Linked DNA regions of Oryctolagus cuniculus. The protein of the gene in region 3 interacts with the protein of the main gene of each other region in a biochemical or structural test. Links are inferred from orthologs where the notes say so. Each region holds a gene or a part of one and is shown on either strand. Other genes may lie near its edges.

Evidence for each region.
Region 1: the proteins of RPTOR (region 3) and AKT1S1 interact in a biophysical measurement, tested with the Homo sapiens proteins (2 studies listed by BioGRID and IntAct, with this or other methods). The link is inferred for Oryctolagus cuniculus from reciprocal best matches to the Homo sapiens genes RPTOR and AKT1S1.
Region 2: of the proteins of RPTOR (region 3) and RPS6KB1, one has a biochemical effect on the other in vitro, tested with the Homo sapiens proteins (6 studies listed by BioGRID and IntAct, with this or other methods). The link is inferred for Oryctolagus cuniculus from reciprocal best matches to the Homo sapiens genes RPTOR and RPS6KB1.
Region 4: of the proteins of RPTOR (region 3) and MAPK1, one has a biochemical effect on the other in vitro, tested with the Homo sapiens proteins (2 studies listed by BioGRID, with this or other methods). The link is inferred for Oryctolagus cuniculus from reciprocal best matches to the Homo sapiens genes RPTOR and MAPK1.

Annotation. Positions count from the first base shown.
Region 1 is NC_091449.1:7,694,627-7,700,253, reverse strand, and holds the start of AKT1S1 (proline-rich AKT1 substrate 1), read right to left. Parts: upstream 3,377-5,627; 5' UTR 2,910-3,376; coding exon 2,671-2,909; exon of another isoform or gene 2,008-2,670; intron 1,208-2,007; coding exon 822-1,207; intron 1-821. Other genes in the region: TBC1D17 (TBC1 domain family member 17), read left to right, coding at 3,865-3,885, 4,319-4,417, 4,523-4,597, 5,372-5,495. UniProt on the Homo sapiens protein: Negative regulator of the mechanistic target of rapamycin complex 1 (mTORC1), an evolutionarily conserved central nutrient sensor that stimulates anabolic reactions and macromolecule biosynthesis to promote cellular biomass generation and growth.
Region 2 is NC_091448.1:35,203,761-35,208,651, forward strand, and holds part of RPS6KB1 (ribosomal protein S6 kinase beta-1), read left to right. Parts: intron 1-520; coding exon 521-668; intron 669-4,674; coding exon 4,675-4,732; intron 4,733-4,891. UniProt on the Homo sapiens protein: Serine/threonine-protein kinase that acts downstream of mTOR signaling in response to growth factors and nutrients to promote cell proliferation, cell growth and cell cycle progression.
Region 3 is NC_091448.1:1,534,817-1,539,707, reverse strand, and holds part of RPTOR (regulatory-associated protein of mTOR), read left to right. Parts: intron 1-1,382; coding exon 1,383-1,500; intron 1,501-2,846; coding exon 2,847-2,987; intron 2,988-3,833; coding exon 3,834-3,992; intron 3,993-4,891. UniProt on the Homo sapiens protein: Component of the mechanistic target of rapamycin complex 1 (mTORC1), an evolutionarily conserved central nutrient sensor that stimulates anabolic reactions and macromolecule biosynthesis to promote cellular biomass generation and growth.
Region 4 is NC_091452.1:28,975,600-28,981,178, forward strand, and holds the start of MAPK1 (mitogen-activated protein kinase 1), read left to right. Parts: upstream 1-2,152; 5' UTR 2,153-2,291; coding exon 2,292-2,410; intron 2,411-5,579. UniProt on the Homo sapiens protein: Serine/threonine kinase which acts as an essential component of the MAP kinase signal transduction pathway. MAPK1/ERK2 and MAPK3/ERK1 are the 2 MAPKs which play an important role in the MAPK/ERK cascade.

The DNA.
Region 1 (5,627 bases), on a different chromosome or scaffold from region 3:
CCCGGGGCTGAGGGCCCCGCCATCACCGTGCCCACAGCACCCACCCCAGGTCACCCCGGGGCTGAGGGCCCCGCCATCACCGTACCCACAGCACCCACCCCGGGTCACCCCAGGCCGTGAGGGCCCCGCCATCACTGTGCCCACAGCACCCACCCCGGGTCACCCCGGGGCTGAGGGCCCCGCCATCACCGTGCCCACAGCACCCACCCCAGGTCACCCCGGGGCTGAGGGCCCCGCCATCACTGTGCCCACAGCACCCACCCCGGGTCACCCCGGGGCTGAGGGCCCCGCCATCACTGTGCCCACAGCACCCACCCCGGGTCACCCCGGGGCTGAGGGCCCCGCCATCACCGTGCCCACAGCACCCACCCCGGGTCACCCGCCGGGTCCCCGGCACACGCGGGGCGCCAGCATCTGGCTGCAGTCCCGCGACACCGCTCAGCCCCACGCGGGCTCAGAGAAACCGGACGCGGCGTGACCTCCGTCTGATGGAGATGGAGTCACTCGCCCGGGGTCCCACGGCTTACTCGTGACAGGGCCAGGCTCAGAGCCAGGCTGCTGGGGGGGGCTTCCGGGGCGAGGCGAGAAGGCCGCTCTCCAGGGGCACCAGCCACGCCCCCTCCCCCAGCCTCAGCTCAGGCCTCCGATTCCGTGGCTGAACCACTAGCCCCTCGCCTCCAAGGAAGACGCCCCGGAGCTCGGCCTGTGCCAGCCCCCGGCAGGAGCTGGCATGAGGCTCAGGGCGGGTCACACGGGGCCACAGCAAGCGGCCGCGGCTCCGGGGACAGGAGGGCCCGGGACCAGCCCCCGCCTCCCCTCACCTCCATTATCGCTGACGCCGAGCCGCTCCCCAGAGGTCTCGGTCTCTGTGGGCGCGTCCTCGTCCTCCTCGTCGTCCTCCCTGGGCAGGGCAGGCCGGGGCGGGCTGGGTGCGGGACTGGGAGGCTGCGGCACTGGTGGGGGCGCTGGGGGCCGGGCGGCGGCGGCGGCCCTGTGGGCCAGGGCGATATCGTGCAGGCAGCGGCGGGCGGCCTCGGCCAGCGCCCCCCGGCCGTGGGCTGCATAGGCGCAGGGGCCCGGCCGGGGCGGCGGCGGCGGCGCCGCGGTCAGCAGCACCAGCTCCGTGCCTGTGCGGGCCCGGAAGCGCTCGGCGGCCCCCACCACAGCCTCCCACAGCTCCTCCGGGCGCCCCAACGCCATCCGCGCCCTGTGGGCCAGAGCAGGACACGGGGGAGCTGAGGCCTGGCTGCCGCAGCTCCCGTCCACCCTGGGAGCCCACCCAGGTCCCTCCCGCCAGCATCTGATGCCCAGCCGAGTGCCAGCTCTGCCTCCGCCGGGCCTGACTGTCTCCTGTGGGGTCCAGTGGGCGGGGCGGGGCAGGGGCGTTTGCAGTAAGCAGATGGGGACGTCCGGCCGCGGCTGCCACGGAGCCCACGTTCCTTGTGGCACAGCCGTCCCCCCCCACCGTGACCCCAGCCCCAGGAGGGTCCTCCCGCACCCAGGACAAGGGCCCGCCGCCCCCACGGGCAACACTGGGCTCTCCCCCCAGCTCCCCACAGCTCTTGGCCAAGCTTCCCATCGTCCTGTCGTGGACGCAACTTTCCCTCTTCCTAAACTCCTGCTTCGGGCCCCCACGTCTGAGCAACACCGTCTCCTCGCGGGGCCTGTGGTCGGCGTGACTGGGGGGCCGCTGTCTGCCCGAGGACCACCCACCGCTTCTTGCTTCCTGCAAGGCTGGAGCGGCCCCCAGAGGCCCTCCGCGATCCCCACGCCACCCAGGCCCTAGGCTCCCTGCACCGTGGGCCCTACACCAGAGCCCTGCGTCCCCGGGCAAGCAGCCTGCAGGTGCAGCTCAGGGGGTAGGGCCTGGCCCTGTCTCTGTGTCGTCAGGGACTGGGGGCTCAGGCCCAGCTGCGGTCCGGTCCGCGTGCCCCTCGCAGCTCGGCATCCCAGAGGCCAGTGGGCCTGGCCCTGCCCTGTGCCCAGACCCCTCAGCTGGGCGCTCACCGACAGCCAGCGGCCCGGGCCTGCCCAGCACCGGGGTTACAGCACCCATCGGTGAGCCGCTCATCCGGTGGGAAGTGAGGCACCGGCCCGAAGCCCCAGGGTGGGACCGGGCGGCGTGGGCAGGGGGCAGGGAGGGGCTCGCTGACCGACGGCGCGCGGCTCCCAACACCAGGGAACAGGACCTAACCGGGGGGAGCAGCGACCGAGGCCAGCAGCCAGGCCCGGGGTGCGGGCGGGGGCTCGCTCCCCAGGGAGGAGGGCGGCTGGCCAAGCCCCCCCAGCCTGTCAGACTGGAAGCGGCCCTAACAAGGGGCACGGGGCACCCCTGCGCGGGCGGACCTTGGGGCCGCCGCCCCGCGACCTCCCCGCAGCCCCCGGGGATCCAGGCCTGACCCGCTTTCCCAGCAAAACAGGAAATCCCGCCCAGGTGAGGGCCAGGGCCGGAAGTCCCGCCTTTGGGCGGGTGAGGGGCGCCCGGAGCCCCTCCAACAACCCCCTCGGGCCCGTGGACGGGGTCCGCGGCCCAGGTGAGGACCCCTGTGGGTCCGAACACCGGAAAATGAGGGTGTCCAGGCTCTGCCTAGAGTCAGACACGACGGTTCTCGCGGGCGACCCCCCTCCAGCGCTCAGCCACGTGCCGCTGGGCTAGCTCTGCCCTCTGACCTATGCAGGCCATACCACTCCCGTGAGCCGGGCGCCTTCCCGGAGCCCCTCTGCCTCAGGATGGCCAAATCCTCCCAACACCGCGGTTCACAACGCCGCCTCCACTCACGTGCCCGTAGCCAGCATGGCCGGACAGGCGCCGTCGCCGCCCTCAAAAGGCATGGCGGCGGGCTGATGTCACTTCCGGGTGACTCCCCTCCTTCCTTATCTGGCTCGCCCGAGACCAAGATGGCCGCCATGGGGTTCGATCCAGGTCCGTGGGAGTGTTGGCCACAGTGGCTAGCCCACAACAAAGATGGTGGAAATGGCTTACCAGCTTAAGCCGCTTCGAGGAGCCCTCAGAAAATATGGCCGCCCACACATGCTTACACGTGACCACGAGAAACTAGGGAGGGCGACCTAACGTTCCTCACCCTTTCTTCCACAAAGTGGAAGTGGTGCCCGTTAACGACATGGCAACCAGCCTGGCTTCACCTGCCCGTCGTGTATATGGGCTCTCTCTCCCTCTAACCTATACCCCCTCCGAAGCCAAGGCTGGCAAAGACCCAAGATGGCAGCATTTCTCGCTTCGGTTTGCCCAGCTTCAACATGGCGACTCGGCCCGCTTCGAGGGTGACTCAGGAATTCGCCTGGGACAGCTTCGGTCCTGGGGACGCCGACGGCTTGGTCCCGTCGTACCGAGTCCGTCGGCTCTCGGGCGACGCACAGCTCCTCTCACCTTCTTTGCCTTTATCCGTTCCTCTTCTCGAGCACCTCGCTACCTCGCCCCGCAGAGAGATGGAACTGCCCCGCATTAACATGGCCTCAGGCTAGCGGGTACGGCCGTGCCCTCGAGCAACATGGCACCCCTTGGCTTCGCTGCCAGTACACAGTACGAAGCAGGAAGGGGGCGGTTTCAGGGAGACACGGGGAGGAGCCCCGGATCCTCCCACTTGTTTACTTCGTGGTGAGCACCGTGACACTGAGCCTGCGCACTCTCGCTGGCCAGCTCCTCTGCTAGAGTCCGCGCCATGTGACTCGCATCCTTAGAATTCCACCCCCCCATGTCTAAAAGATGGTTTCACCCACTCCTGCTCTAGAATGCATAAGGGCGCAACCACCGTGCGGCCGTGCGGGGGAGTCTCCCTTCCGGATATGACACTACGTTGACCCGGAAAAGGAGGAGGCTGGGGCAGCAGGATCTCGACCGAGGCTATGGAGGGAGCCGGCTACAGGGTAAGCACTGGGGGCGCATTCACTCGCTTCTGCCTATGCGAAACGACCCTGTCCGGTGATCTGCCTCTCCCCAGGCCGTGCCAGGGAGGCCCGGAACTCCACAGAGCCGTGGGAACCGGGTGTGGGAAGACCCTACCCCCTAGCCCCGCCCCCGGACTCTGGGGACCTTGCGAGCTCCGCCCCTTTCGGAGCGCGCGGCCGCCCTGTGGGCGGGGCCTCCACGCGCTGACTTCCCTGGTCCGCCCCCATCGGCTCCCTTCGGGGCCCCGCCCCCGCCAGACTCGCCCCCATTGGCTCCCCCCGGACCCGCGCCCATTGGCTCCCGCCGGACCCGCCCCCACGGCTCCCTTCGGGGCCCCGCCCCCTCCAGACCCGCCCCCATTGGCTCCCGCCGGACCCGCCCCCATCGGCTCCCTTCGGGTCCCGCCCCCAGGTAGTGTTCGAGAAGGGCGGCGTGTACCTGCACACCAGCGCCAAGAAGCACCAGGACCCGGACTCGCTCATCGCGGGCGTCATCCGTGTGGTGGAGAAGGTGGGCCGGGTGGGGTGGACGCGGCGTGCAGGGGGCCCGGCCTTGAGGGCGTCCGTGGCTCCCACTCGGAGGGCTGAGCCCCGGGACCTGTCCCACTCCCCCCAGGACGGCGATGTGCTGCTGCACTGGGCCCCCGTGGAGGAGGCCGGAGACTGCACGCAGATCCTGTTCTCCAAGAAGGTCAGTGTGCTGCGCCCTGCGTGCCCTGGCACCGCGCGCTTCCCCGGGGTCCAGTCCCAGGCCTGCCCCTGGGGCCCGGGGATGCCTGGCCGGGGCCCGGGTCCTCTCGGCCTCTGGGTGAGGTGGGCCGAGGACGCCCGTTGGAGGAAGGAGAGCGGAGGCCCGCCCAGGTGCAGAGGCCACTGCCGCCGCTCGCCCCCTCCCTGCGCCCCTGTCCGGCCCCGGGCGCGAGGCTACTCAGCAGGAGGTCGGTGGGCTGTGAAGACCCGGCTTCGTAGTAAGCCCATTGGCCTCAGTGATGGCCGTCACCGCACCCAGGGGCCTCCCCCGGGGCCTGGCAGCTGCCTGAGGCTGGGCCACGTCTCTGTCGGGCTGTCTGTGAATGCCTTCTGGCGTGGACACGTTCCCCTTGTCCTGGGCACTCCCCGCGGAGCGGCGTTGCCGGGCCTGGGGAGGAAGTGCCGCACCGTGTCCCCAGCCCGGCCCTGTTGCACGTGGCCGCCTGCAGCGTGTGGGGCTCCGGCGTCCCTGTGCGCCCGCCGCCGCTGGTCCTCAGGTCTCTGGTGCTAGCTGTCCTCGTGGGCACGGGGTGTCTCCTGCCATGGCTGCCCAGCTGCCGCCTGGGCACCAGGAGCCTCGGGTTCCAGTCCTGGCTGTGCCGGGTAACCCTGGGCAAGTGCCATGCCACCTCTGTGCCTCAGTTTCCCTACGAGGCTGCGCTCATACCTAGAAGCCATGAGTCCGTGGCCCCTCACTCTCTTCCTCTGCCCCAAGGACTCCAGTGGGGGCTACTCCTGCGCCTCTGAGGAGGAGCCGACTTTTGACCCCGGCTATGAACCTGACTGGGCCGTCATCAGCACCGTGCGGCCGCGGGCCCGGCCATCGGGGCCCCCGAGAGGTGGGCCGAGCTGGAGGCTGTGGGGGCCGGGGTGGGGGACCCGTGTTCTCAGGAGTCTCTGCCCCCAGTCCCAGGAGAGAAGAGGTGGCTGGGGGCAGGGCTTGTGGCTGTGCCCAACCCCCGGGCTTCTGG
Region 2 (4,891 bases), about 34 Mb from region 3:
TTCTCCCAGGCTTCATTGACATTGGAATGCCTTTTGTTTAACCTTCTGCTTTTGTTTAACATCTGCATAATTTTTCATGGTGCACCTTAGGTAGCACCACGTCCAGAAAGACTTCTTTTTAGGTCAAATGGAATCCCCCATTCACCCACAGTGCCTTGTGCTTACCTCTATTGACTTGTCTTTTTCCTCTGAGACTTTGGGCTCCTATAGACAAGGCATTTCTTGTGTTAGTTCTGCTTTGTTGGCACAGAGCCTGGAGCATAGTAGACACTTAACTTAAACTTGATTTGTTTACAGATTCTTAAAATGTTGTATCTGTAGGTTTTCATTTATCTATTCACTGCAAAAAAATTCAAATAGTACAAATACGTATAAGAAATGAATGTATTCCATTATTTCATCAGAGTTTCTAGTGGGAACTATTCTGTATTGACAAGACAAGCACAATATAGATATTCCAGTTACTATAGTATTAAAATGTTCACTATTTTGTTCTTATAGATCATCTCTTTTCCTTTAGGCAATGATAGTAAGAAATGCTAAGGATACAGCTCATACAAAAGCAGAACGGAATATTCTGGAGGAAGTAAAGCATCCCTTCATTGTGGATTTAATTTATGCCTTTCAGACCGGTGGAAAACTCTACCTCATCCTTGAGTATCTCAGTGGTCAGTACACAGTTTGGTATAATTATTTGCAGTTGTTCCAGAAACTGAGTCAAAACTTTATTTTCCAGTGGAAAAATGCTTTATCTCATTGGGATCAAATAGTTCTTGAAATTGATGAATACATTAAAGTGAAGAACTCAGATGTGACCAGATGTTTCTATTTTGCACACAGATGAAATAAAAGAAACTTAAAAGTTCAGTGTTTTCCCATCTGTGAAATTTTATTTTAATCTCTTTATAATCAGTCACTAAACAAAAAAAAAAACACCTAATTGATACAGAGCTGTCAAATTGTACAAGGATAGGGTTGTATAATTCAGATGAACCATTACTGTATTCGTTTCTAAACTGAAATGGAAGAACTTACTGAGAATATTGTTTTAAAATACTGAATATTTTTAAAGTTGCATCTTTAAATAGAAATTTTTTAAAGGTTTATTTATTTATTTGAATGGTAGAGAGAGAGAGATCTTCCATCTCCTGGTTCTCTCCCCAGATGGCTGCAATAGCCTGGTCCTGACCAAAGCCAGGGTCTCCTGCATGGGTGGCAGGAGGCCATGCCCTTGGACCATCTTCCATTGCTTTCCTAGGCATATTAGCAGAGAGCTGGATTGGAAGTGGGATGGCTGGGACAGGAACTGGAGCTCATATGGGATGCTGGTGTAGCAGGTGGTGACTTAACCTATGCCACAATACTAGACCCATAAATAGAAAAAATTTTTAGTGCAGTGTAGCCTTAGTGACAGAGTATACAGTTTGCATTGGAAATCATCTGGTTTCCAAGGCCTACCATCACCTAGGAACTTTTTGCTTCACATATCATTTCTAGAGCATAGGTGTCTGATTCCAGCAAATACACTTCGGTTTTCTAAGAAACAGATTTTTGCAATAATTTGGAACTTGGAACAAAAGCTGCAGAATTTAGCAACTTTTTTTTAAAGGTTTATTTATTTGAAAGGCAGAATTACAGAGAGAGGGAGAGAGAGAAAGAGGGAGAGAGAGATTCTGTCTGCTGGTTCACTCTCCAAATGTCCACAACAGCCAGGGCTGGGCCATGCCAAAGCCAGGAGCCAGGAGCTTCTTCCAGGTCACCCTATGTGGGTGCAGGGACCCAAGGACATGGGCCATCCTCTGCTGCCTTCCCAGGCACATTAGCAGGGAGCTGGATCAGAAGTAGAGCAGCTAAAACTCAAACTAGCATCCATATGAGATGCTGGCATGCAGATGGCTGCTTAACTCTTTGCACTACAACAGCGAACCCTAGCAACTTTTTTTTTCTTTAATATTTTCTTTATTTATTTGAGTGGCAGAGTCATAAAGAGAGGAAGAGACAAAAAGAGAAAAGTCCTCCATCCACTGGTCCACTCCCCTAATAGCTGAATGGCTGGAGCTGGGCTGATCAGAAGCAATGAGCCAGGAGCCTCCTCTGGGTCTCTCACATGGGCATAGGAGCTCAAGGACTTGGGCCATCCTCCACTGCTTTCCCAGACCATAGCAGAGAGCTGGATTGGAAGTGGAGCAGCAATGTCTTGATCCTGCGCCCATATGGTATGTGGGTACTGCAGGTGACAGCTTTACCTTCTATACCACAACACTAGCTCCCCCTAGCAACTTTTAAAAAGTGGCTATTGCCATTTTTTTCGTATGGCTTTTCACAATGGTTCTTTATCTGAGAGGCAGAGAGCCAGCAAGAGTGAGTGTGAGCAAATGTGAGTACTCTCATCTACTAGTTCACTTCCTAAATTCTTATAATATTCTGGGAAGAGCTTGAAGCCAGGAGCCTGAAACTCTATCCAGGTTTCTCACCTGAGTGGCAGGAACATAATTACTTGAACCATCATCACTGTCTCCCAGGGCCTGGATTAGTAGGAAGCTAAGAGTTAGGAACCAGAGCTGAGCATTCAGCCCAAGTATATCATTGTGAGACATGAGCATCTTAACTAGTCTTAACAACTAAGCTAAGCACCTGCCCTTCTTGTAACTTTATTTTGACATTATTTCAGACTTACACAGAGCAGGTAAGCAGTGATTAGGAGGCCCATATCTCAGATGGAATGGCTGGGTCTGGCTCCTAATTCCACCTTCCTGCTAGTACAGAGCCTGGGAGGCAGTAGTGATGGCTGGAGTAATCGGGTTCTTGCCACCCAAATGGGAAATCTGGATTGAGTCCCTGGCTCACCACCTGCTCCCGCCCTACTGCTTAGCCCTGTTACCCATTACATTTGAGGAATGAGACAGTAGAAGATGAGAGTTCTCTCTTCCTCTATTTTTTTTTTTAACTCACTCTGTCTCTTAAATAAAACAAATACTTTTAAAAAAAGAATTCCCTTAATTTTGTCACCTGGAGTCCCTAAATACTATCATTTTACCATATATGATTAGTTTATACATCGTTCTATATGTATCTGTATAAATGCACATATATACACACACATATACCTGTATGTATACAGATGTGTGATTTTTTTTTTTTTATTTTTTTGAACTGTTTGAGAGTATTACAGACATGATTTGCCTTCATCCCTAAAACTGCAGGGTTTATTTTCTAAAAAAAAGGGCAGTGTCTTATATAACTACTAATTTACCTAAAATGGGGAATTAACATTGATACAGTAATCTCTCTCCTTAGTTTCTTTTAATCTTTAATCTGAATAGTACTTCAGTCTTTCTTTTTCTTTAACGATGTTGGTAATCTTGAAGAGTACAGGCTGGTGGTTTTGTGGAATGCCTCAATTTAGGTTTATCCAGTTCTTTAGGATTGGATTCAAGGTATGTGTTTTGGCAGGACTATTGAAGTGACGTTGTGTCCTCAGTGCCTGAGATCAGGAGATACATGACATTGATATCTTTGTCCCGTTAGTGGTAAAAGTCACTTTGGTCATGTGTATAAGATTGGTGTCTTCTGTTTTTTTTTTTTTTTTTTCCAGGTAGAGTTTTCTCTTTGTAATCAATAAGCATCTTTTAACAATAAATATTTCATCTTTCATCAAGCTTTCATATTCAGTTTTGGTATCCATTGATTCTTGCCTGCAGTAATTGTGATGTTTGCCAAATGATGTTTCCTATTTTATTTTGCCCCCTTCATTTATCACATAGCACTCTACTGTTATGAAGAACTTTCACTTCTCCATTTAAAAAATTTATTCATTTATTTACCTTATTGTGGACTTTCGGGTTCTAAGATTATTCAGTGTATATAATCCTTTATTATCATTATTTTGATATGTATTTGTGCCATTCTTTTTACAAGGCCTCTGCCAGGTTCATTCAGTTTTTTAAGGGTTCTGAAAATACGGAATATTAGCATTCACTAAAGTTATTGAAGATAGTTTAATTTATATTAACATTTTTCTGCCTATAGGTAAAATGTTAGATTTCAGTCAAGTTTTTTTATTTTTTTTAAACCTCAAGTCTGGAATCCACACACACTTTCAAGGTTGTAGATGTAAATTCCAAATTATTTCTAGTTTTTAAACTTAAAAGTTTCACAGAGGAATCAGAATTCTGCTAAAAATAGAGACCTGGGGACTTAGTTTGAAAATGTATGCTTTAGGATTGTTTTTATGTCTTAGGGACTGTCTTTTGTTTTTAATTAATTTATTTAAAGGGCAATGTGGCACAGACCCTCAAAAGGAGAGACAGAGACAGAGACAGAGAGATCTTCTATCTTCTGGTTCACACTCCTCAAATGCCTGCAACAGCAGGGGGTGGGCCAGACTGAAACCATGAGCCAGGAACTCCATCTGACTTCCCCACTTGGGTAGCAGGAGACCCCCCCAGGACATGGGCCATCCTCTACTGCCTTCCCAGGTGCATGAGCAGGGAGCTGGATCAGAACCAGCACTTCTGTATGGATGCCAGTGTTGCAAGCAGCTGCTTAACCTGCTTGCCCCAATGCTTGCCCAAAGGGCTTATGTCTCTAATTACAGTTAGAAGGAAAGCACAAACTCATTAGAACTGGATTGGAAATAAAGATTCTTTTATTTCTCATGTCTTGTCTTTACAGGAGGAGAATTATTTATGCAGTTAGAAAGAGAGGGAATATTTATGGAAGATACAGCCTGGTAAGTGAGATTTTTATCGTTCATAGATTTAAGTAATATCTCATATAATTAAAAGAAAGCCTCATTTCCCACTGTGGGCAGCCAAATGATTCAGTAAATTGGTCTGGAGTCAGGGGAGAAGCAACTTTGGGACTGGGCCACTATTGGAGGTCACATCAT
Region 3 (4,891 bases):
GGGCAGGGTCGGCCACCGTGTGCCCAGGGGCTGCTCATCCTTCAGGTGGTGCGAGTGAGACGGCCGTGGCTCCTCTGGCGGCCCATTGTCAGGAGCTGGGGTTCCCTCGGATCTGCTCCACGGGTGCCCCCGCAAGCCTGTCCTCGGCCGGCAGTGGCAGAGGGCCGCAGGAAGGGCCTCTGAGGGGTGTCGCTGCGCAGCGGCCGGGCGGGAGCCTTTGTTCTGCTCCCCGGAGAACCTGCGTCCAGCTCCTGCCCAACCCCGCGGCCCAGCAGGCCCAGAGCCGCAGAACTCCCTGTGGGCCTGCAGCCGCGTGGCTGATCTTCGCCAGGGCCCCTGGGGACCCCAGCCTGGGGGGACTGGAGTGTGGCTCTGGCTGCAGGGCAGGCAGGGCACAGATCCCCGCCCGCTCCCCAGCTCAGCGCCGCGGCGCCAGAGAGCAAGGGTGTGCCGGCGGCTCTTTGTGACGTGGCGTTTACGCCTCCTCCCACATCTGCCGCGTTGTCCTCCACTGTCTAGGAGCTCACTGACAGGCTGGAGCCGGCAGGCACGCGGGGCCGCCCTTGTTACTCGGACCTTGCTGGTCCTGAGGAGAATCTGCAGGTTGCACACTTGCGGGCACCGACCTTGTCGGGCAGGGTGGGCCGGGGTGCTGTTTGTGACCCCAGCCCCAGGGCCCAGCGCCCGTGTTCCAAGCTCACTCGCTGTTGTCGGCCTTAGGACAGACGTAAGAACTGTCTGGATACTTTAGGTTTCGTTCGCAAGTGCTTGTGAGCCAGCCCCCGCCCCCAGCCACGTGTTTGGTCCGAGCCACGTGTGTCCTGACGACACGTGTTGAAGATTGCACCGTGATGAGCTCACACGCGTCGGAAGGGAAGGCTGCTCTGTTCCCCAGACCCTCGCTAAACGTCTCCTCCCTCTGCAAACCGCCCGGAGATGGGAGGACTTGACTGGGCGGGGTGGGGGAGGGGAGCCAGAGGCGGGCACTCGCTGTTCAGTGTGACCAGAGGCCGGGCAGGAAGCAGCCCGCACCCCACGAGAGCTCAGGCCCCATAAGGCCACTCCCTGCACCAGGGCTAACAGCGTGCAACTCCGGCAAGCATGAGGCCACCCATGGGGCCTGGAGAGGCACCCCCTGCTCTGCAGCCCCTGCATGTGGAGCCCGGAGAGGCACCCCCTGCTCTGCAGCCCCTGCGTGTGGAGCCCGGGGAGGCCCCTTGCTTTGCACCCCCTCTCACAACAGCTGGAAGGGTCCTGTCTCTAACACTGGTCGCAGGGTTGTGTTTGGACCTCTCTCTCTCTGTGGCGTCTCAGGCGTCCGGCACTGACGTGAGTCTCGTTACCAGCCCGGTGAGCGTTCACGTCCCTGTACCTCTCGGCAGGAGCTGGTGGTGGCCCTGAGTCATCTCGTCGTGCAGTATGAAAGCAACTTCTGCACCGTGGCCCTGCAGTTCATGGAGGAGGAGAAGAACTACCCCCTGCCTTCCCCCGCGACCACAGGTACCCCCTTGTTTTTGAAGCCCTGCAACCCATCCCCGCTCCAGCAGAAGCCACCGCCCCCTCCCGCTGCCGGCCAGGCCCCTCGCCGAGCCAGGGCTCCAGTCGGGTTCCTCAGGCCTGCCTCCGGCCGTCTCAGGCGCTCAGCAAACCGTGGGGGGCAATGACCCCCTTCCTCTCCCCCTTTCCTTCGATCAAATTCATGGACATCGTGGCGGACGGCAGAACTTCTGCCGTGGGGGTGGAGAACGCACGTGGGCGAGGAGTGACCTCAGGCCCATGCGGCCCCGAGTCAGGCCGGGAGGCTCCCCCTCTCGCGTCTGCTTTTCTCTGGAGAACACGGTCAACCCCTCCCCGACATCACCGCCATTGCCGAGGGCTCGTGACCAGGAGCAGACCTGGGAGGGGTGGCAGAACCAGAGTGGCCAGGCCCCAGCAGCCCACAGCCCATGTCACTGAGGCCGCGTGGGCCCCGTCCTGTGCCGTGTGGCCTTTTGCCGTTTAACATTCTCAAAGACAGGCAGCTGCCTTGCTGGGCTCTCCAGCTCCTGCCCATGGCCCCAGAGCTGAAAGCCCCTTCCCTCAGCTCGGTCCTGCCCAGAAACAGGCGCCACCTCCTGTCGCCGCAGCTGAGGCAAGAGGGCGAGGACCTTCCTTTTTTCTTTTTCTTTTTTTTTTTTTTTTAGGTTTTATTTAAAGATTTACTGGGCCCAGTGCTGTGGCACAGTGGGTTAAGCCACAGCCTGCAGTGCCAGCATCCCATATGGGTGCCAGTTCTAGTCCCGGCTGCTCCACTTCCCACCCAGCTCTCTGCTGTGGCCTGGGAAAGCAGCAGAAGATGGCCCAAGTGCTTGGGCCCCTGCACCCATGTGGGAGACCTGGAGGAAGCTCCTGGCTTCACCAGCCCAGCCCATCCCCAGCTGTTGTGGCCATGTGGGGAGTGAGCCACTGGATTGAAGATCTGTCTCTGTCTCTGTGTCTCCTCTCTCTCTAATTCTGACTTTCAAATAAATAAATCTTAACTCTGCCTTTTAAATAAATTTTTAAAAATAGATTTGTTTAGTTATTTGAAAGTCAGAACTAGAGAGAGGGAGAGATCTTCCATCTGCTGGTTCACTCCCCGGATGGCTGCGAGCCGGCAGCCTGGAGCTCTGTCCGGGTCTCCCGCGCGGGTGCAGGGCCCAAGCGCTTGGGGCATCTTCCACTGCTTCCCAGCCGCGTTAGGAGGGAGCTGGATGGGAAGCGGAGCAGCCGGGACTGGAACCGGGCAGCGACTGAACCTGCTGTGCCCAGAGCAGCCGCTGCCCTTCTGTGGAAGCCTGGCGCTAACGCTTTCCCTTCTGCCCTAGAGGGGGGCAGCGTGACCCCGGTGCGGGAGAGTCCGTGCACCCCCAGACTCCGTTCTGTGAGCTCGTATGGAAACATCCGCGCAGTCACCACAGCCAGGAGCCTCAACAAATCTCTGCAGAACCTGAGCCTGACAGAAGAAGGTGGGGCGCGGGCGGGCTCGCGGCCTGGGCCCTGAGGGCCTCGGGGGTGCCGTGCCGCTGGGTCTGCCCTGTCTGCAGCCGTGGTGGTTGGCCAGCCGCGGGCGTAGCACGGAAGCCGGGGTTCTGCTCACAGTGGCCAGTGCTGCACATCTGCAGAGACCACAGGCTCAGCTGGGGACAGGTGGCCCTCAGACAGCCACACCCTCAGACAGCCGCCCCCTCAGACAGCCGCCCCCCTCAGACAGCCGCCCCCCTCAGACAGCCGCCCCCCTCAGACAGCCACACCCTCAGACAGCCGCCACCCTCAGACAGCCGCCACCCTCAGACAGCCGCCCCCCTCAGACAGCCACACCCTCAGACAGCCACCCCCCCGCCCCGGTCTCCCAGGAGTAACCATGCCATGGAGCTTGGTTCAAAGGAGAAGAGGCAGGGTGTGTGTGTCCCCACCTGTGTGCAGGGGTGTATGTACGTGTGTGTGTGTACGTGTGTGTGTACGTGTGTGTGTCCCCACCTGTGCACAGGTGTGTGTGTATGTACGTGTGTGTGTACCCACATGTGCACAGGTGTGTGTGTGTACCCACCTGTGCACAGGTGTGTGTGTGTGTGTGTCCCCACCTGTTCACAGGTGTGTGTGTACGTGTGTGTGTGTACCTACATGTGCACAGGTGTGTGTGTGTGTACGTGTGTGGTGTGTACCCACCTGTGCACAGGGGTGTGTGTGTGTGTGGGTGTGTGTGTGGTGAGCCTCATTGTGCAGGAGCAGACACATCTGAGGCAGGCCAGGAGCCACAGAGCAAGGCCAGGGGTGCCTGAGCCGCACCCGACGCCCTGCGCCGTGTCCTGCAGCGGGCAGCTCGGTGGCCTTCTCCCCCGGCAACCTCAGCACCAGCAGCAGCGCCAGCAGCACCCTGGGCAGCCCGGAGAACGAGGAGTACATCCTGTCCTTCGAGACCATCGACAAGATGCGCCGCGTGAGCTCCTACTCCTCGCTCAACTCCCTCATCGGTGAGCGCCCAGCCCTCGCCCCGCCACAGCTGCGGGAGTGGGGGAGAGGAGGTGCGGGCGCGGGGCCGCTCGGCCACGGACTTGGCGGGCGCTGGCTCACAGCCAGGCCAGTGGGCAGCGGGTCGGGCGGCCGCCGGAACCTCCCGCCGCCCTCCCTCGGTGCGCACGCCTGCCCGAGTGCCCCGCGCTCCGAGCTGTGTTCTCAGCCCGGTGGTTTTACCCCGGGCCGCTCGGTGCGAGTGGGGGTGCCTCTGCCCTGGCGCGGAGTGGGCAGAGGTCAGGGCGCCGCCGCAGGCCCCAGTGCTCGGGTGGCAGCAGTGCAGGCTGAGGGCCCTCGGCTGTGCCCCGCACCCCTCCCTCCCAGAGTGCCCCTGGAGATGGACGTTGGAGATGGGGCTCTGGTTTCTGTCTTGTGCCCTGAACGTACGTTTCTGGTTCCCCCGCCAGGACCACTGCCGTGAGGGCCTGGGGAGCGGCCAGCTGCTGGCTTTGGCCTGACCCAGCCCAGCAGCTGCAGACATCTGGGTGGGAGTGAACCAGAAGAGCTCGCTCTCGCTCTCTCTCGCTCTCTCGCTCGCTCTCTGTCTCTCGCTCTCTCTCTCGCTCTCTCTCTCTGTCTCTCGCTCTCTCTCTCTCTCGCTCTCTCGCTCTCTCTCGCTCTCTTGCTCTCTCTCGCTCGCTCTCTGTCTCTCGCTCTCTCACTGTCTCTCGCTCTCTCTCTGTCTCTCGCTCTCTTGTTCTCTCTCGCTCCCTCTCGCTCTCCCTCCCTCTCCCTCGCTCTCTCTGGCGCTCTGTCTCTGTGTGTGTCTCTGTGGCCCTGCCTTGGAATTAAACACAGAGACACAGGAAGGATACGTAGTCGTCCCCTGTGATGTTCTCCTCACTCGGCTTCTGTCGCA
Region 4 (5,579 bases), on a different chromosome or scaffold from region 3:
AGCACCTGGCTCCTGGCTTCTCTCCCTCTCAATGTCTGTAACTCTACCGCTCAAATAAATAAAATCTTAAAAAAAAATTCCATCACTTGTTCTATATTCTTAAAGTATCTCCTCACATTTGTCTTTTACATTGCTGATTTGCCCTTTTGTATTATCAAGCCTTCTTATAACTCCTTCAACCATTGCTTTTGTCTTGGTTATTGTGATTTTGATTTCATGATACTCTCCATTTACTTCAGCCTTTTTTTTAAGGATTCATTCATTTATTTGAAAGTCAAGAGTTACACATACACACACAGATCTTCCATCCACTGTTTCACTTCCCAGATGGCTGCAACAGCCACAGCTGGGCCAGGCCAAAGCCAGGAACCAGAAGCTTCTTCCTAGTCTCCCACGTCGGTGGCAGGTGTTGGGCCACTTTCCACTGCTACTCCCAGGCTGTTAGCAGGGAGCCTGATCAGAAGTGGAGCAGCTTGGATACAAACCAGTGCCCACTTGGGGTGCTGGCACTGCAGTCGGCAGCTTTACCTGCTGTGCCACAATGCCAGTCCCTCATCATCCTGTTTTTTTTTTTTTTTTTTTTTTTTTTTTTTTTTTTTTTTTTTTTTTTTGACAGGCAGAGTGGACAGTGAGAGAGAGAGACAGAGAGAAAGGTCTTCCTTTGCCGTTGGTTCACCCTCCAATGGCCGCCGCGGCCGGCGCGCTGCGGCCGGCGCACCGCGCTGATCCGATGGCAGGAGCCAGGAGCCAGGTGCTTTTCCTGGTCTCCTATGGGGTGCAGGGCCCAAGCACCTGGGCCATCCTCCACTGCACTCCCTGGCCACAGCAGAGGGCTGGCCTGGAAGAGGGGCAACCGGGACAGAATCCGGCGCCCCGACCGGGACTAGAACCCGGTGTGCCGGCGCCGCAAGGTGGAGGATTAGCCTACTGAGCCGCGGCGCCGGCCTCATCATCCTGTTTTTAAAAAGAGATGCAATGTCCTTTCAGAATCAAGAATAAGAATTAGGTGTTTTCAAAATTGGGTTCTGCTTCACGGACTAACATTTGAACTCACTTTTGGGTGTAGCACTTTTTTCCCCTTATGTAACACTATTTTTTTTCTCTCCCACAGGGCTTTTAACGCGCCAGACTGACTGGCTAATCTTTATTGATTTCCAGCCGTCTCGAATTAGCAGCTCTGAAGGCTATGAGGGGAGTCTGCCTTCTCACTTCCCTCTGCAGACGGCAAGGAAATGGTTCCGAGGCGGTGGCTGGCCCATCTTCCACCGCGTGGCCTGAGCTTCCTTGGCATCCGTCTGCTTCAAGATTGCAGTTTTTTAATTTTCAGCCTCTCATGTGTCTGTGACTATTGGTTTTAGCGATTCCACCCTGGTGTTTCCAGCTCAGTACGTTCTACGTCTCAAAGCTCATGTCCATCCGGCCTAACATGGGTCTCGGTCTCACAGTGGCAACTCGAGTCTTCCTCAGGTGTCTCAACCCACTCCTCTCTGCCCCTTACTCTGCTTGACATTTCTCCATAGAAAGTACCTCAGCCTGAGAAACCTCTCTCCGGAAGTTATCTTCTACGAGGGCGGATCTAAGGGCAGACCCACTCGGCCTCTCCTGTCTCACACGTTCTCAGTACTCAAATCTCTTCTTCGGTCTGGACCACGTATTCTGGTTCCTAACATAATCTCCACACCTCCTAAGTTGTTCAGAGCGTTTGGGCCCCAGAGGGCCCGAAGCCCACGTGTGCAGCGTCGTTCGTCTTCCCCCGCACTGCCCGAGCTCGCCGCCCGGCCCCAGCCCCGGCCCCTCAGGGTCAGCCCCGTGACGCCCCGTCTCCCCATTCCGCTCTCAGCGTCTCCTCAGCCGCCTCCCGCGCCGACTCACCAGCGAACGCACGTGACCGCGCCCTTCGGCGCCTCCTCCGCAGCCGCCGCCGCCGCCGCCGCCGCCGCCGCAGCGCTCCGCCCTGAGCTCGCCGCTTCCGCCGGCCCGCGCGGCCCCGCCCCCAGCCGCAGGCAGCCAATCCTCGAGCACGCTGCTCGGCCCCGCCCCGGCGCCCTGCTCGGCGCGCGCCCCTCCCTCCGCCCGCGGGCCCGCCCGTCAGTCAGTAAGTGAGACGGGCAGTCGAGGCGAGCGGACGTCGGCTCTCCGCTTCCCCGAAAGCGGCGCCGTCCTGCCTCTTTGGCGGTCAGCTGCGGCGGCTGCACGGACGGCGGCGCGGTCCCTTGGGGAAGCGCGGCGGGAGCGGAGCGGCGGCCGCGGAGCGTCGAGCCCAGCGCGGCGGCGGCGGCCCGGCAGCCAACATGGCGGCGGCGGCGGCGGCGGGCACGGGCCCGGAGATGGTCCGCGGGCAGGTGTTCGACGTGGGGCCGCGCTACACCAACCTCTCGTACATCGGCGAGGGCGCCTACGGCATGGTGTGGTGAGTGTCGGCGCCCGCCCCGCAGGCCTGGCCCGCTCCCCCGCCCGGGGCTGCAGCGGATGCGCCGCGGCCTCGCCCGCGTCTCGGCCTCCCGCGCAGCGGTCGACCCCAGTCCCGGGCTCCCTCGGGCAGGGCCCCGGCTCGAGGTTTAAGATGTCGCTGCTCGTGGCCGGTGGCCGGTCCCGGGCCGGGCCCTCGCTCGCCGCAGGGGGGCGGAGGCCGGGACCCGCGGACGCCCTGCACCGGATAGCCGCTGGGTTTCCAGCCCGGCTCCTCCACCCCACCCCCCAAGATTTCAGAAATGTAGATTGCAAGCCCAGATTCCCGATCCCCAGCCCAGGAGGGGAACGGAAGCATCCGTCGCGCCCCGGGGTGCTCGCGAAGCCGGGAATGCCGTCAGATGCATGGCCCTGGGCTTGGACGCGGTTGGACCCTGCGTGTGTGCGGAACGGCGGCCGGCTGTGCGTGAAGTGTCTGTCCCTCAGCGGTCGTTAGCTGGTGCTCGCCTGAGCAGGCCTTCCGAAAAAGCACCCAGGTCGGCAGTGTGGCTTGTATGAAGAATTCGTCTTGCAGTTTTTTTTTTTTTTTTAATGTTTAAACGGGCATGCATGTGTTACCGTGCGTTTCAGGAATAAGCAGCCGGCATCCCTCTTGGTTTATTAAATCTGCTTGCAGTTGGGCCCAATTTGCTCTTTTTTTTTTTTTTTTTTTCCTCTCCCTCTCTTCCCTCCTCTCAGGTGAGCTCCTAACCAGTATAGATGCATCCTGTCGTGTTGGCCCGAGGACCGAGGGTTTTGCTGTTGGTATTTTAGCGGTCAGTGTATACATTCCGCCTTTCGGGGACTTTTTTTGCACAGTCACACGCAAGGCTCCCTCGGAAGAGGCGCTTCGTGCAGAAGTAGATTCTCCTGCTTCTCAGTCTCATGAGTGTGTCTTTTCCTGATGAATGAAGTAACTGAGCACTAATTTGTGGACTGCTTCGTGCCCCTTACTGTGTGCCACATCCGTATTTTATTTGAACAGCCCCCCCACCCCACCCCAAAGGAAAAGCTGGTAATATCCCTCTGTTAGGTGCCAATTTTCTAAGGTCATAGAAGAAAGTGTCAGTCTTGAGATTGAAGCCTGAGATCTTTGTGGTACACCCAGCGTCCCTTAAAATAGCATCAGTGATAATTTCGGGATTTTTAGCCTCTTTTACTGCTGTGTGCGAGTCTGTTTAAGAAACGTATGCAAATCTGAGTGATGATGACTTCAGAAATGCCATGGAGCACTTGCTTTACCAATCACCTTGACTAGATAGAAGTAGTTGGAATTATTTTTGAATAATTGAATCCTGCATGTTTTCGTTTGCTTTAGGAGCGAATTGCTCCCCAGTATACAGCTGTGAAAATTAGCATGACTTCCCCCCACCCCCACCCCCACCCCCACCCCCACCCCAGCTAAGAAGTGAAAAGAGAAATTAGGTCAGGCCTGAAAGAAATTAGGCTCTGAAAAAGTACTGGAGGCCGGCGCCACGGCTCACTAGGCTAATCCTCCACCTGCGGTACCGGCACCCCAGGTTCTAGTCCCGGTCGGGGCACCGGATTCTGTCCCAGTTGCCCCTCTTCCAGGTCAACTCTCTGCTGTGGCCCGGGAGTGCAGTGGAGGATGGCCCAAGTGCTTGGGCCCTGCACCCCATGGGAGACCAGGAGAAGCACCTGGCTCCTGCCATCAGATCAGCGCGGTGCGCCGGCCGCGCCGGCCATTGGAGGGTGAACCAACGGCAAAAAGAAGACCTTTCTCTCTGTCTCTCTCTCTCACTGTCCACTCTGCCTGTCAAAAAATTAAAATAATTTAAAAAATAAAGAAAGTACTGCCCCTGGTATCCCTTCTGTGTCACACGTGTTATTGTTGTCATGCCTGCTGGTGAGTACACCAGTGACTATCTCATGAGAGGCTCAGGATTGCCCGTCATGCCCTTTGACACCCCTCCCCCCTTTAATTATATAAAATATGAACTGAAAAAAAATCTTTAGGATATGTCAGTTGAAAGCATTTTTTTCCCTTAGCTGATGAGATTTTTTTCTTTAATCTGAGGGTGATGTCGATTTAGAAGCTGTTTCTGTCACTGCTGTAGACTAATCCAACCTCTGTCTCCAGTTGAAGTGCTAACTTCTCTTGCTGTAATTTTCTCTTTTGAAATAAAACAAATATAATTGACATTTGAATCGTGGGCCCAGATTACAGATTATTGCAAGTTGGTGATACAACCTGCCGTTAATCTATACTGCACATTGTTTGGCTTTTGATAAATACAGTGCTGGGGTTATGGAGGACTTCGTGGTTAAATTTTTTATTTATTTATTTATTTTTTTTTTTGACAGGCAGAGTGGACAGTGAGAGAGAGAGAGAGACAGAGAGAAAGGTCTTCCTTTTTGCCATTGGTTCACCCTCCAATGGCTGCCGTGGCCGGCGCACCACGGCCGGTGCACTGCGCTAATCCGAAGCCAGGTGCCTCTCCTGGTCTCCCGTGGGGTGCAGGGCCCAAGCACTTGGGCCATCCTCCACTGCACTCCCGGGCCACAGCAGAGAGCTGGCCTGGAAGAGGGGCAACCGGGACAGAATCTGGCGCCCCGACCGGGACTAGAACCCGGTGTGCTAGGGCCGCAAGGCGTAGGATTAGCCTACTGAGCCGCGGCACCGGCCCTAAAATGTTAATATTGAATAGCGATTTAAAAAAACAACAGTGATTCTAGAAATACTTAGAGTTTTGGCTATTTGCAAGTTTTTTTTTTTTTCAATTTTTGAATTAGTTTCTTAGTAATTCTGATTATTTTAGTCAGAGCCTTTCTCTGATCATTATGTGGAGGCTATTGTAAGGTGTCCAGGTGCACAACAAATCTTCCCAGGCAGACGAATCAATTAATTCACAGGCTTTTATTGGGGTTCCGCTCCCGGGCGAGGTTCCCCGGTCCCAACAGAGTGGGGGCCGGGGAAGTCGCGCGTCAAAGATTGGGAGAGCTCCTTTTATAGATTCAGGGCATGGGAGTTAAAGGTTGAGGCGGGTCTGATCCTCATTGGTTGACCTTTAGGCACCTGCAGGGATCTTGACAAGGACTTTCTTCCCCGGAAGTAGGCCTCTCCATTCCCGGAAGTCTAGGCCTTCCCTCCTTGCGGATCCCAAAGCTAC